Linked DNA regions of Diceros bicornis minor. The protein of the gene in region 1 interacts with the protein of each later gene in a pairwise test. Links are inferred from orthologs where the notes say so. Each region holds a gene or a part of one and is shown on either strand. Other genes may lie near its edges.

The links.
Region 2: the proteins of NUP62 (region 1) and HSF2 interact in binary tests that used the Homo sapiens proteins (3 or more experiments, as listed by UniProt). The link is inferred for Diceros bicornis minor from reciprocal best matches to the Homo sapiens genes NUP62 and HSF2.

Annotation. Positions count from the first base shown.
Region 1 is NC_080773.1:25,283,303-25,290,987, forward strand, and holds the start of NUP62 (nuclear pore glycoprotein p62), read right to left. Parts: upstream 3,020-7,685; 5' UTR 2,795-3,019; exon of another isoform or gene 2,641-2,794; intron 1-2,640. Other genes in the region: ATF5 (cyclic AMP-dependent transcription factor ATF-5), read left to right, coding at 4,302-4,479, 5,431-6,086. UniProt on the Homo sapiens protein: Essential component of the nuclear pore complex. The N-terminal is probably involved in nucleocytoplasmic transport.
Region 2 is NC_080762.1:14,584,209-14,591,113, forward strand, and holds the start of HSF2 (heat shock factor protein 2), read right to left. Parts: upstream 3,010-6,905; 5' UTR 2,941-3,009; coding exon 2,848-2,940; intron 1-2,847. UniProt on the Homo sapiens protein: DNA-binding protein that specifically binds heat shock promoter elements (HSE) and activates transcription. In higher eukaryotes, HSF is unable to bind to the HSE unless the cells are heat shocked.

The DNA of each region.
Region 1 (7,685 bases):
GAGGGACTGCGGGTCTGGGTCAGGGGTGGGCACAGGACAGGGCTCAGGGTGCTGAGACCTGGTCTCACAGACAGCCACTGATGACCTACCGCCCATAAATTAGAACATGCTGGGAAGAGCTAGGGAGCTAAGTGTGCGAACTGGCACCCTCTCAGCAGGACTGAGTCAAGTGCTTGAGTGGGGCAGTTGGCACCAGGGCTGAACTAGGTGGGATCCAACACCTATAGAGAGAAAAAGGCACAAGGGACTGGGACAGGGGACCAGGGTCCCTGCCCTAGTGTCTTCTCAGTCAGCATACACCGAACACTCATTTCCAGTTATTAAAAAATATCCTACCTAGCCATCCTCTCAAAAACCCATAACCCCAGTCTATGAGACAAAACCAAATTGGGGGACATTCCACAGAATACCCAACCACCACTCTTCAAAGCCGTCAAGGTCATGAAAGACAAGGGAAATCTGAGAACCTGCCGCAGCCCAGAGAACGCTAAGAAGACAGATGACTAAATGTAATATGGCATCGTGGACAGACGCCGGAATAAAAAGAGGGCATTAGGGCGCAACTAGTGAAACCAGAACAGAGTGTGGAGTTTAGTTAATAGAAATGTATGATGTTTGTTCCTTAGTTGTGACAAATGAACCAAGTAATCTAAGGTGTCAACAACGGGGGAACTGCGTGAGGGGTATATGGCAACTCCACTATCTTTGCAACTTTTCTGTAAATCTAAAATTACTCCAAAATAAAAAGTTGATTTAAAGAAAAATACTTTACCTAGTCCACGTGTATAACCTAGGTCTTTCCAGAAGGAGAAGACTCTGGGTGATGACTGGGCCTCCTCACTGCCAGCAGTCTGTCCAAGAGCCTACCCTACTCTCACCTGCTGTTACTCAACATCTATACTGAGAAGCAGAAAGTCGGCCCCTAAGTCTCACTTAAAAGGTGGAAGACTTTTTAAAGAACTTACTGCTTAGCAAAGGAGATAAAACACACACCTCACTAATAATAATAATAATAATACCCCCTTAGGTAGCACCTACTGTGTGCCAGGCACTAGTCTAAACGCTTGACCTCGGTTAACTTATTTAATCCTCGTTAACAGTACTAAGAAATAGGTACAATATAATAATGGCCACGTACATTGGTACGTTTCTATTAACCAAACTCCACACTCCATTCTGGTATTATTAATGGAAACTGAGGCACAGGGAAATAAAGGACATTGCCAGTGAGCTACTAAGTGCGGTGCAGTCAGGGATGGAACGCAATAACCTGGTTCCAGAGTGTGCTCTTAACTGCTCCTCTATACCGACTAGGTATAACGCAGCCCCTATAGCGCCAGTGCTCAAATACCAGCAGAGTGGACAATAAGTGTCTAAGGGAAAGTGGTCAGATCCCAAGAAGGACTTGCTGCATGCAACAAAAGCCTGCGTATGTTCATTCCCAGATAACTCTCAAGATCGGGGTTCCCCCACCTTCTCTGGATCTTGATTCAGTTTCATAACCAACACAAAAGTGATGAAGGCTGAACTCCAGGTGTCACATCCTGATGTGGACAGAGGCAGGGTGGGAAAGGGAGGGGTTTCTGCAGCAGAGGAAAGACCCGCATCCACTTGGGCTGGTGGAGGGCCCAGCCACAGGGAGGGGATGGCGAGGAAGCTCTCCTCTTTTAGCAAATGCAAGTGTAGGTCTCCCCATTTTTGGCAGGGCTGGAACACGGATCCAGTGGGGCGCAGCAGAGGCGGGGGACTCTTTGAAAGGAAGTCAGGGTGAGGGGCAGGGGCAGAAGAATGAACCAAGTGTCTCGAAAGAAGTGCTGAGGATAAGCGCTGAGGGGAGGTGGGCACGGGATGGAGAAAACAGCGAGGGCGACGATGCCTGAATTCCCTGCACCGAGAGGGGGCTGACCGCCCATCATCTGGCGTGGAGGAGGGTGGGGACGGCTGGACACTGAGGAGTAAAGGCGACACTGCTAAAGAATGACCTATTAGCAGGTGTCGGATGGTCAGGAGTCTGGGGCTCTTGGCAGGAGGAGAGCAAGGCGTCAGACCGAGCCCCAGAATTCGTATTAATAATAAAACACACCGAACAGGCCTGCAGGGAGCCGGGCCCTGGGTCCCACGGCTCTCCGCTTATTTCATTCGCACAAACAACCCCACCTCATTTTGCGAACGGTTCCCCATCTATGAGGCCAGAGAACTTAAGTTATATGCCCAAGGCCACCCTGGCCGGTCTATGACTCACGCCAGCCTCGAACCACAAAAAGGGTTGGGGGACGGCAGTTGGGGGATAAGGAGACGAGCATGCGGCTGGCCGGAAATTCGTGAACCGGGGCAGGGAAACAAGAAATGAACCGACGCGGGTCTCGGGGAAGAGGAGGGGCCGAATTCCCGGAATCGCAGGGAGGAGGGGGCTGGACCCCCACGTCGGGGGGAAGGGAAGGCCGGAACTCCCGGGGTCGGGAGGAAGAGGGGGCTGGATCCCCGGATCAGAGGAAGCAGAAGGGCCGGATCCCGGGGTCGGAAGGAAGAGAGGGCCGGATCCCGGGATCCCGAGGGGAGGCCAGGCCCGCCCCCCGGTTGGGGCCGCGCGGGGGCGGGGCGCGGAGGGATCCGAGCGGGCCGTGCTGCGCCGCCCCCGGTATATCTGTTCCCAGTCCCCGGCGCCGCCTCAGTCCCCGTCCTCAGATCACGATCTCTCCTCACGCTACCCCGACGCCGCCTCCGCCCGCGTAGCCCCGGCCATGGCTCTGTAGCCGCCACCCCTCCGTGCCTCACGGCCCATCTCCGCGCTCACCGCGCTTGCGCTCTCCGCTCCCGCCTTCTTTCTTCAGCCGAGGCCGCCGTCGCCTCTCCTTTCTGCAGCCATGGAGTGAGTAACGCTCGCCCCTCCCTCTCCAACCGCCTTTCCCGCCCTTTGGAAGCTCGCGGCCCTCACAACGCGACCTGGGGGATGGCGAGACGAGAGCGAGGAATCACGGTCGCGCAGGCGCAGAAGAGGGAAAACGGGCCGTCGACGCGAGGCGGAGCATGCGCACTCGGCTCGAGGGGGGGAGGGTGCGTTCTTCCAGCGAGTGTTGGAGTTTAAAGACGGCCCGCGTGAGGTTGCGCCTGCGCACTACCCCCCAGGACGATTCCGCCCTCTCGCGGTTGCTCATGCGCAGCAGCCCACCAGAGTCCGTATTTGCGTCCGAAGGGCGGGCAGTAAGCAGCCGCACATGCGCAGTGACCCCCAGGAGGACGAAGCATGTGCTTTGGCCCTGGGTTAGAGAGCCGGGAGTGGAAGGGTGGTGGCGAGGAGAGCTGTTCCTCCCCGGCCTCCCGGCTCCCACGACCTGCGTCCCGGCTTCACATTGCTCAGGCGCACTGCATAGCTTCTCTTTCATCGGGCACCTGTTGGGGCGAGGGCTGGTGTAGATTGACAGGGTAGAAGGCGGGACTTAGAGGCAACCTGTTAAAAAGGGGGTGGAGCTAGGATCACAGCCATCGGGAGGAGTGGGGCTTGAGGGAACCCATTGTGAGAGGGGCGGGGCTCAGCGAACCGTTTGCTGAGGGGCGGGGTTTCGATCCGAGAAAGAGGTGGGGCCTCGGGGGAATCATCGGGGAGGGGTGGGGCTAAGATAAACAGTGAGGGGCGGGACTTAGAGGGTCGGGGGAGGTCACCGCAAAGTTAAAAGGGCAGAGTGGGATTTGAGTGGATCACATGGATGAAGGGGCGGGGCAGGGGGAAATTCCCCTGGGAGCTGATTTGAGATGGACTCGAGGGAGGCGATGGGGCCTAAAGGAAATATTTTAGAGGGGGTGGTGCGGCTGGAAGAAAATTCCCCTGGGATTGAGTTTTTTTACGAAGGGGAATATTATGAGGTGGGTGGGAGGAGTTAAGGAAATTCCCCGGGGAGACCTGTAGGTTTCTGTATTGGAAGGATCCGGGCTTGGGGATTCTAAAGAAAAGTAAGTCGATCCTAAAGCGAATTCCCTTGGGAGTGGGTGGGCCTCAGAGATTTGGGGAAAGAAAGAGCAGATTTAGAATTCTGAGAGCTAGGCTCGTCCCAAGCCCAGTTGGAAGCAGGAGTGGGGGAGGGGGGAGGACCCCAGGGAGGTGGGGGTGTGGCTTGGTTTCCCTGTGACTTCCGTAGTGGGTGAGGCTGGCTTCTGACCCCAGTCGCTTTTGCCTCCCACATGTAGGTCCTCCACTTCCGCCTTGGTGCCTGTCTTCGCCCAGCTGAGCAACCTCCAGAGCCCCCTGTCAGCTGCCGGTGCAGCCTCCTTCGTTGCCATCCGCGCCCAGCGCCTGTGCTGCAGCCATGTCACTCCTGGCGACCCTGGGGCTGGAGCTGGACAGGGCCCTGCTCCCAGCTAGCGGGCTGGGCTGGCTCGTAGACTATGGGAAACTCCCCCTGGCCCCTGCCCCCCTGGGCCCCTATGAGGTCCTTGGGGGAGCCCTGGAGGGCGGGCTTCCAGGGGGGGGAGAGCCCCTGGCAGGTAAGGGCAGGCAAAGAATGGAGGTGGGGTGAATTGGGGTATGGGGGGCAGGGGGAAGGAGGAAGAATTCCTTCATTCATTTATTCATTCAATCCATCAATATTTATTGAGCACCTATAACATGTCAGGTGCTGGGGATACAGATGGGAACAAGACTGACACGATCACTGTCCTCCTGGAGTTCACACTCTAGTGAGGAGACAGACGAGACATATTCAATGATAATGTGGCATAAGTGGGAAACAGTCATTTAGCTGAAAAATGACAACGGGGACCTAGTTTATAGTGTGTAGCCAGGAAACCCTCTCCAAGTAGGTAGCGTTTTGGCTGAGGCCTAAAGCATGGGAGGGAATGAGCCATGAAAAGATCCAAGGGAATAGCTTTTCAGGAGGAGGGAACAGCATATGCAGAGGCCCTGAGGAAGGAATTATTTTATTCATTAATGTGTCCGACATGCTTGGTACATAGTGGGTTTTCAATACTTAATGAGTTAAAGAGGAAACGGGGTGTGTTGTGTATGTGCAATCTAGTTTGCCTTTTAAGAATAAACTAGAGAGTAAATCAGACAAACCACAGGTGTAGAGTAATCAGTAAAGAGGATGTTGGAATGGTTGAAGTAATGGCTAATTGTTTTGTTGTTTGGGTCATTGGGTGGTTGACTGGTTCACTGATTGATTGGTTAAAAGGTTGATTGGTTGGTTGACTGATTCATTTAGTTGGTTGGTTGGTTGGTTGATTGGTTGACTCGGTTAATTGGTTAGTTAGATGTTTGACTGGTTTATTGGTTGGTTGGTTGGCTGGTTTGATGATTCATTGATTGGTTGGTTGACTGATTGGCTAGTTGGTGGGTTTACTCAGTGAATGGAATGAATGAGGCTGACATGAGTGAGCACCCGGTTGGGTGGAGGACCAGGAACTCAAGGACCTTTATGTCCCCCTGCACTCCTCCAGGTGACGGCTTCTCTGACTGGATGACTGAGCGGGTTGACTTTACAGCCCTTCTCCCTCTGGAGCCCCCCTTGCCCCCAGGTGCCCTCCCCCCACCTTCCCCACCCCCACCTGACCTGGAAGCCATGGCCTCCCTCCTCAAGAAGGAGCTGGAGCAGATGGAAGACTTCTTCCTTGATGCCCCACTCCTCCCGCCATCCTCCCCACCACCACCACCAGCACCAGCGCCCTCCCTCCCCCTCCCCCTCCCCACCTTTGACTTCCCCCAGCCCCCTGCCCTGGATACGCTTGACTTGCTGGCCATCTGCTGCCGCAGTGAGGCCGGGCATGGGGACTCGGGTTTGGCCCACTTGCCTCCCCCACAGCAGCCCCCTCCTCCTCCACCTCAGCCCTCTCGCCCGGCCCCCTACCCCAATCCTGCCACCACCCGAGGGGACCGCAAGCAAAAGAAGAGAGACCAGAACAAGTCGGCAGCTCTGAGGTACCGCCAGAGGAAGCGGGCAGAGGGCGAGGCCCTGGAGGGCGAGTGCCAGGGGCTGGAGGCTCGGAACCGGGAGCTGAGGGAGAGGGCGGAGTCAGTGGAGCGGGAGATCCAGTACGTCAAGGATCTGCTCATCGAAGTGTACAAGGCTCGAAGCCAGAGGACCCGCAGCAGCTAGCCGGGCAGGGGCTTTGGGCAGTAGGGGGCGCTGGTCTTTAGCTTGGGTCACTTCTGTTTCTGGAGCTGAGGTGGGAGAGTCCCTCGGCATCCCCCTGCCTCCACCTTCATTCCAGATCTCTCTCTCTCTCCCTCTCTCTCTGCTTTTATTCTCCTCTCTGCTCATCCATTTCTGAGTTTGCTCCCCTCCTCCCTCCCCAGAATCATGGATGTTTGGCATTAGTCAACATCTGTACTCCTCAAGTAACAGCCGAGGGGCTGAGGCCCACAGGGAATTCGGGGAGCAGGGCAGAGCTTGGGAACCTGGTCTCTCAAACAGGGACGTGTGGCCAGGAAGCTATGCAGAATGAGGCCAGGAGAGCCATCTGGGGACGCAAGTCAGGGAGGGTTTGAAGAATGGCACCCATGTAATCAAAATGCCAAGCCAGGTGACCTTCGGGAGCTCCATTGGGGCAGGGAGCCAAAAGGTAGCCAAGTTCACAGAGCAGGTGGATGTGCAGGCAGATGGGGAGGCGGGCAGGGCGGGGGATGGCCATAGTGGGCACCGGGTGTTCATTTTAGCTCTGGGAGGAAATCAGTGTTTTGTGCAGGTGTTGGGAGAGGGGCTGCCTCTAGGTGAGCGAGGGCGGGGACTGATCCTTTGGGGGGTTGTGAGCGGAAATAAAATGAAGAATTTTCTCTGGCCTGTGAGTCTTGTCTGTGAGGGGAGAAGTTGGGGAGAGGGCAATCTTAGGCCAAAGACAATAATGATGATAGGAGACACAACAGATAATACTTCTAGGGCCGCCCCGTGGCTTAGCGGTTAAGTGCGCGTGCTCCGCTGCTGGCGGCCCGGGTTTGGATCCCGGGCGCGCACCGACGCACCGCTTCTCCGGCCATGCTGAGGCCGCGTCCCACATACAGCAACTAGAAGGATGTGCAGCTATGATATACAACTATCTACTGGGGCTTTGGGGGGAAAATAAATAAAATCTTAAAAAACAAAAATACTTCTAGTTAAGGGGGCCGGCCCCGTGGCGTAGCCACTTTTAGATTCAGACGGTTAATTACTTACATAGACAGCGAGATAAAAGATAGGCAGAGGTGCCAGCTCCCTTGTCACACACACCAAAAAAGGATGACACCGAAACAGAAGGGGCTGGGCTACCACAAGAGATGTGGGAGGAGCCAGCTGTCTGATGAGGGCCTCCCAGGGGAAGTCAGGAAGTGAGGGGAGATGGCCTGGTAGCCATGGTGGAGACGTTCACTACATCTGCTTGTTGAGGGTGTAGGGGAGGAAGAACTGTTCTTTTGCCCTCTAGGTCCTGGCTGGTCTGAGAATTCAGTTGACATGAGACAGAATAACAGGGTAAAATCAAAGTTTAGTAACATGTATACATGGTTGAAACCCAGGAAGACTGAGTGACTCGCCAAAATGGTGGAAGCCACCACCTTAAATACCATCTTCAGCTAAAGACAAAGGAGGATGTTGGGGGTGGTGTTTTGGGACTTCAAAGGGGAGGCAGGCAATTCACGTGGAGATGGAAAAGCAAATGTTTGGTAAACGAATCTTGACCATGCCTTGTAGAGATAATGAGAGGTGGAGAAGATTTTGATTAAA
Region 2 (6,905 bases), on another chromosome or scaffold:
GAAAACTCCAAGGGGAGAATCTGGGAAAAAACATGTACAATACGTTTTAAAGACACACTGGATCTAAAGACATTTCTATTATTTGAATCAATAACACATTTAGTATAATTTGATTGCTCAAAATATTATATTTCTATAATTAATGATTAGAATGGGGATATTATTTCATTTTTCATTTTTGTCATATTACAAGTTTCAAGGAAAATTAAAGTTATATGAACTTCAGGAATATTAAGCCAAGCTTTTCCAACTGCAGTTGGTAAGAGCTTTCTCTCCTTGCCTAACACTCAAGCTAGAAGAATAAATTATTTTCCACAAGTAAAAAAAAAAAATGCATAAAAGATTGCCTGGTTTCCAAAACATCTGTTGCTTCTAAAAGGTCTTAATATTCACTCAGATAGTATAAATGCTAAATTACCTCAATAGAAGTTCAGCAAAACAAGGCTGAAGGAAACCAGAAACAACCATAAATAGCAACTTTTAAAAGACGAGAGTAACTTATTTTGGTTTTTCCATCTAACATCATTGTTTAATTGAAGTTTTACTTTTCATTGTTAACACTGATTTGGAAAAATCTGGTAAAATAAGCGAGACAGCCCTAAGCAACTAAGCTTAGCCCTAGACAACATTAATCTAGAATTGTCCACTGACTTGCGGAGGGCTAACGTTTTGACATAAAACTAAATATTGTGCCAATATGTATTAAAGGTAATGCTATGGACAGAAGATTGATCTGGGAGGTCACAAATCTATGTCATAGTCCCACCTCCAATAAAGGCTAGCTTTGTAATTATGGGTAAGTAATCTAACCTGTCTAAGCCTCAAATCCTCATCTACACGATGATGAGGCTCAAATAAATGATCTCTAAGATTCTTTTCAGGCATAATTCTATCTTCAACATTCCTACCACTTCCATTACATATTCCAAGGATTTCATTGATTCATCAAACATTTATTAAGTCCCTACTGGATGTCCCTGGCACAGAGAGTGTCCCTGCTCTCACTGATTTTATATTTCATTTGTCTCGTTATGATCAGAAAATGAGTAGTTAAAACATAAGCTTAGACTTAATAATGGGATAAATAAGAATCATTTTTAAGCGGCTTCTGTATTTGGCTTAGAATTCATAAAATGATGCATTTATGTATTAGTTTGAAACTCCCCACATTTGATACTTCCCATAAAATAAGAATGTTATTAAAATATCTTGGCTAATGAGAATTTTCAGACCTGCCACTGATATAATACCCCTTAATTAAAACCAATTACCAATATATTTAGGTACCATTTCTAGGCAATAAAAACAAGGCCTACCCACGCAAAAAGGTATGATAAAGTCAGCTTGGGTTGGAGAGGAGACTCTCAGTCCAATCTCTAACACGAATAAAAGGCTGAGTAACAGCAGGGTGTGCTGATCCATCCTCGTCAACTTTTAATCCTTCTGACTGATGAAAAGCATGAGACATCTGTTTATTTTTAAGTGCACACTCGCGGCTGGCTTCCTTATTTTCACCTTTCTTAGTACAACTGTACAGAATTCAGCAAATGCTTAATACACACCATCCAGCTGATGATACTAACCTTCAAGAAAATTAAGTCCTAGAAGGGAAACAAAAAAATCAACGAATGACAGTAACATAAACCAGAATATGGTGTTATAGTAGTCAAAACTTCATGTACTCAATCTAGTGCTCCCTGTTAAATGTAATAATAAAACTGAGAGTTCCTATAATAGGAAAAGAACAGAAAAGAAAGGGAGAAAAAGGGGAGATAACAATTACTCGGCACTGAACAGGTGCCAGGCCCTGTGCAGGTAGTTTTCATGACCTCGTCTCCAGACCTCTAAACAAGAAAATATCCCAAACACACGATCATCTACAATAAGAGAAATCCAGCCCCCTTCACAAAATGATTCCAACAGCTTAAGAGCGTATTCCAACGCAAACGCCGTTTATGGAATAATCATTCTGCTTAGAATTTTACTATTTGGAACTAGGAGGAGTCTCGGATCACCCGGGCAACCCAGTCATCTCATGGACGATGAAACTCAGGCCACACAAGGCGCTTGGCTAAGGTCATCTCCGTTTCGTGGCAGAGTTGGGATCAAACAACAATCACGGCATCCACACACCACTCTGCTGGCAACTGTTTAGTGATTCATTTCAGTTCCTCACTAAGTTAGTGGACACCAGTCTCAGCACCTGGATGAAAATCATCATAAAAACCCGTTTACAGCAACGGCTCAGAACCTCCGAGGAGAAATGTACCATTGTCTGTGTAATATCTTAAGACCCACCGATCAGCCGTCACCTGTGTGTGACCGTGTGCCCACTCCCCCGAAGCCCTCCCCACAAGGACCCCAGGTGTAAGGCGGCGCGTGGCCGTCTCCGCGACAGACGCGGGTCGCCGGGGTCAAGATTTCCTCAGATAACGCCCCGCGCTGGAGAGCCGGCCCGGGGCTGCCCGTGCCCCCGGCGACCCGGAGCCCGCGAGCTGGGCGGGAGGACGGGGGATGAGTGTGCAGGAACGCGGCGCCCGCGCCCCCGGCTAGCGGGCCGCCCTCGCGCCGCCGGGCCGGTGCCGAAGGGCGCCCGGGCCGGACCGTTACGGGGCCTCCCGGCCGCGGGCCCCGCGCGGCCGCCCCTCCCCCACCGCGGCCTGAGCCAGCGCGCCGGCCGCCCCCCCGGCTCCCGCGCCCACCACCCCGGGGCCCCCGCCGGGGCCGCGCCGCGGGCCTCGCAGCCGGCGTCGAGCCGCAGGCCGCGGGAGACAAGCCCGCGGGAGAGCGGGAGGGAGGCGGCGGGTACTCAGGAGGGTTCGGAGGCCGCCGCGCCCTCCCGCGTACCTGGCTCCAGGTGATGAACTCGTTGGTGTGGGTTTCCTCCACCAGCGTCCACAGCTTGCTGAGGAAAGCCGGCACGTTCGAACTCTGCTTCATTGTTAACGAGGCGCGGGGACTCCAAATTCTACGCCCGAACGCGGCGGCGGCGGCGGCGGCGGCGGCAGCTGCTCCCCGAGAACGCCCACAACGCAGGCGCAGCAGCTCCAGGGCCCCGCCCCCCAGCCCCGCCAGGCGGGGAGGCCGGGCGGCCGCACGTGACGGACAAGTCGCCGCGCTCGGCCCGTGCGCACTGGTCGCGCGCCTGTCCCGATCCCGGCCAATCCCAGGCGCCGACCGCGCGACAGAGAAAACGGATTGGATGGTGCAGACTGGAGGGGGTGGGAGCAGAGGGGTGTGCTGCCTTCTGATTCGCCTTTTATCCAGGCCCTGACTGTAGCGGACCTTGGGCTTAGGGGACCGTGTTTGGTTGTTTCACGTGGAAGCAGCTTTGGGTTCCCGGGCTGTGGCGGAGAGGCTACAGAAAGTCCTCAGGGGCCTTTGAGTCATAAGTTTGGCAGGAAAGTGTGGCTTGCGCCGTCAGGAGGAAGGAGTATAATAATTCACATGGGGGGAAAAAAGCAGCTTTCAAGCATGATGTGCTAGGCCCCAAATTGAAACTGCCTTAAGAATAATGAACCTTGTCCTTAAATTTTCATTAGGAGAAAATGGTCCCTTTAAAATACGTTTAGCAAAAAAGAGAAATTTAAATAATAGCTCACTCTTTACAAAAGCACATACTACTGTGAACCATAAAGTGTAATAGGCACCGTACATGCTGTTTTTAATTCAACTACCATTGAATGCCGTCTATATGTCCAGTATAAAAAGAAATAGCCTCACTTATGCTGTTTTAATCAATTAAAATAATTGTTCCTGCATGTACTTTGCAGGTATATTCTTGTGTGCCAGAGATAGTTTGGTATAGTGGAAAAAAAAAATTCAACAAGGAGTCAGCGTATCTGAGTTTAGACCAAGCTTTGAGGACGCTTTAGTGGATATTAAATTACACTGGTACTGTGTAACTTAGAACAATCCCTTGATCTGTTGGTGCCAGCCTTCCCCGTATCCTCATTGGGAATAAGAATATCTCTCTATTCCCCCATGTAAGATAATATTAATAACATAAGAGGTGTGAAAATGCTTTAAAAATATAAACAATTGTACAAAATTAAAATTTTTTTGCAAAAGTCAGCATGTGAATATAAGAATTTACTCACAAGTCAGAGATAATTAACGCTTTATGCAAAATTCAACATAGGATTGGTTTACTTCCTGGGCACGTGTAAAATAATACCTTAAAGAATAAAATACAGAGGCTGCCCAGTGGCGTAGGGGTTAAGTGCGTGCACTCAGCTGCCTCAGCCCCGGCAGATCCCTGGGCGCTCATTGAAGCAGCGCTTGTCAAGCCATGCTGTGGAGGCATCCCATATAAAGTAGAGGAAGATGGGCACAGATGTTAGCCCAGGGCCAATCTTCCTTGGCAAAAAGAGGATGATTGGCATCGGATGTTAGCTCAGGGCTGATATTCCTCACAAAAAAATAAATAAAATTCAATTTCCAAAGAGCAAATATTTATTGAATACTGACTTTGTGTTCAGCACTGGTCTTCTGAAACAAAATCAGATGTATGATGGGATACATCTGGTAGAGGAACTAATATTTGATGAGCATTTATATATGCCAAGGGCTTTGCATATATTATCTCATTTAATCTTCACAACACCCCTATGAAGTACATCTTATTACCCCATTTTTCCAATGAAGATTCTGAGACTGAAAAGTGGATTAATTTACCTACATCACAGCTAGTAAATGAGAGAGGGTATTTGCACCCGGGCTTGATTGAGCTTAAAAGCCTGTGCTCTTTCCATTGTATGATGATGGCACCACCTCAATGCTTAAGCTGCTTATATTCTAACTTAAGAAACAAGATGAACACAATGATCAGCAATCATTGATATTAAAAAAGTAAGAGCTAGGGGCCAGCCCGGTGGCTTAACGGTTAAGTTCCTGTGTTCTGCTTCTGCAGCCCGGGGTTCCCTGGTTCAGATCCTGGGCACGGACATACTCACCGCTCATCAAGCTGTGCTTAGGCGGCGTCCCACGTAGAAGAACTAGAAGGACCTACAACTAGGATATACAACTATGCACTGGGGGTTTGGGGAGGGGAAAAAAAAAAGAGGAAGATTGACAACAGATGCTAGCTCAAGGCCACTCTTCCAAAAAACGAAAACAATAACCAAAAAAAGTAAACTAAAAAAAAAAAAAAGAGTTAAATTTATGGCATAAAGCAAGTACTAGAAAAGTTTAAAAGGACAGTTAAGTGAGTTAAGGTAGTAAGGGAAGACTTTATGGAGGATGGGGACCTTAAGTTGGGTCTTGAAGTACAAATGCATTTGGATAGCTAAAAGGAAGACAACAATGAGCAAAGATGGGGAGGCTAATGAGCACGGTCTGTCTCTGGAGATGGACAGCTCAGGAAGTAAGAGGGGGAAATGTGGCCTACTTTCATGGCATTGTATCATTTTCATCTGAAAAAAAAGATGTGATTTGATACAGGCAGAAACTCCTCTTTGGGCCTTCAACCTGTCCAGTGGTAGGCCTGTGCTCAGTTGTGCCCCATACTTGGTTTAATGCTCTGTTGTCACCATCTTGAAATTCTTAATTTTTGAACAAGGGACCCAGCATTTCATTTTGCATCGGGCCCTTCAAATTATGTAGCTGGTCAGCTTCCAATATATTGCACCTTATAGACCAGTGGTTTTCAAACCTAAGCATGCATCCAAATCACTTGGAAGGGAGATACTGCCAATATAACAAATGAACAAGTATCACTTACCAGGTAGTATTTATAATACTCATGAGGCCAGCAAAGGGGCTAAGTTATTAACCAAATAATCTGGTGATGGCACCAGGAAATACATGGTGTGTCTAAAATCACATGGCTGGGGTTGGAATTGAAACCATGTCTTTCATAGTCTGAAACACATGCTTTTTTCTGTTATACCAATGGGCCTCAAACTTTAGCCTACATCCGAATCACCTGGAGGGCTTCTGAAAAAACAGATTGCTGCTTCTCCCCCAACTCCACTCAGTAGATCTGGGGTTCAGGTTAAAAATTTGTTTTTCAAACAAGTTTCCAGGTGGTGCAGATGCTGCTGGCCCTGGGACCACACTTTGAGAACCATTGTTATAGAGGAAAAATTAGTCAATAACATGTACAGAGTTGTAATTACTCACCCTTCACCTCTTAACACAATCCAGATGTTCCAGGAATAATTTAAACTACTGTGTTTTCTTTTTCTGTGAACTTAATCCTTAATATTTATTGTAATTAATAAACTTTTTGAAAACTTTAAGTACCAATTAGAGATGTTTTTGGGGAAGAGAAAATCATTATTGGCTCATTTGCACTTATTTATAAAACTGAGAAGGGAAGAAAACCAAATCAAGCTAATTCACAATTATTTGCCACCTACAATATCCCATAAATATCAGAAGAAACAGATTTGAGCCAGTGTCAACAATTTTGAAATGTTCACAATATTAGAGGATAAAAACGTCAGTTTCTTAAAGTGAATTGCCTTTTGTTGGCTCCAAATAAAAAAAGTTGGAATCGTTCCATGGCTCATTTGCAGCCTGGAGGATAAGATTTAAAAGATTTAGAATAACATTAGAAAATATGAGTGACCTAGGCTTTTGCCTAGGAAATAGAAAACCATATTGTGGGGCACTTTGATGCTTCAAAGCATCTGATTCAGACTGTACAAATTCTATCTAATCAATTATGCAAAACTAGTTTGAATCAACAGTGCAGCCAGAACTAGGTTTTAAAGATTATTTTCAGGGATAGCATGACTGAAGCCGAAGGTGAACTGCGTAGAGGTTTCCATCTACATTCCTATCTGGACAAAGTGTTGATTTTCTTCAATTTTGGAATGAACTAGGGGGCCTTAGGCAAACCACTTGACACCTCCAAGTCCTAGATCCTTATATATAAATGGGAGTGAAAATACCTGTTA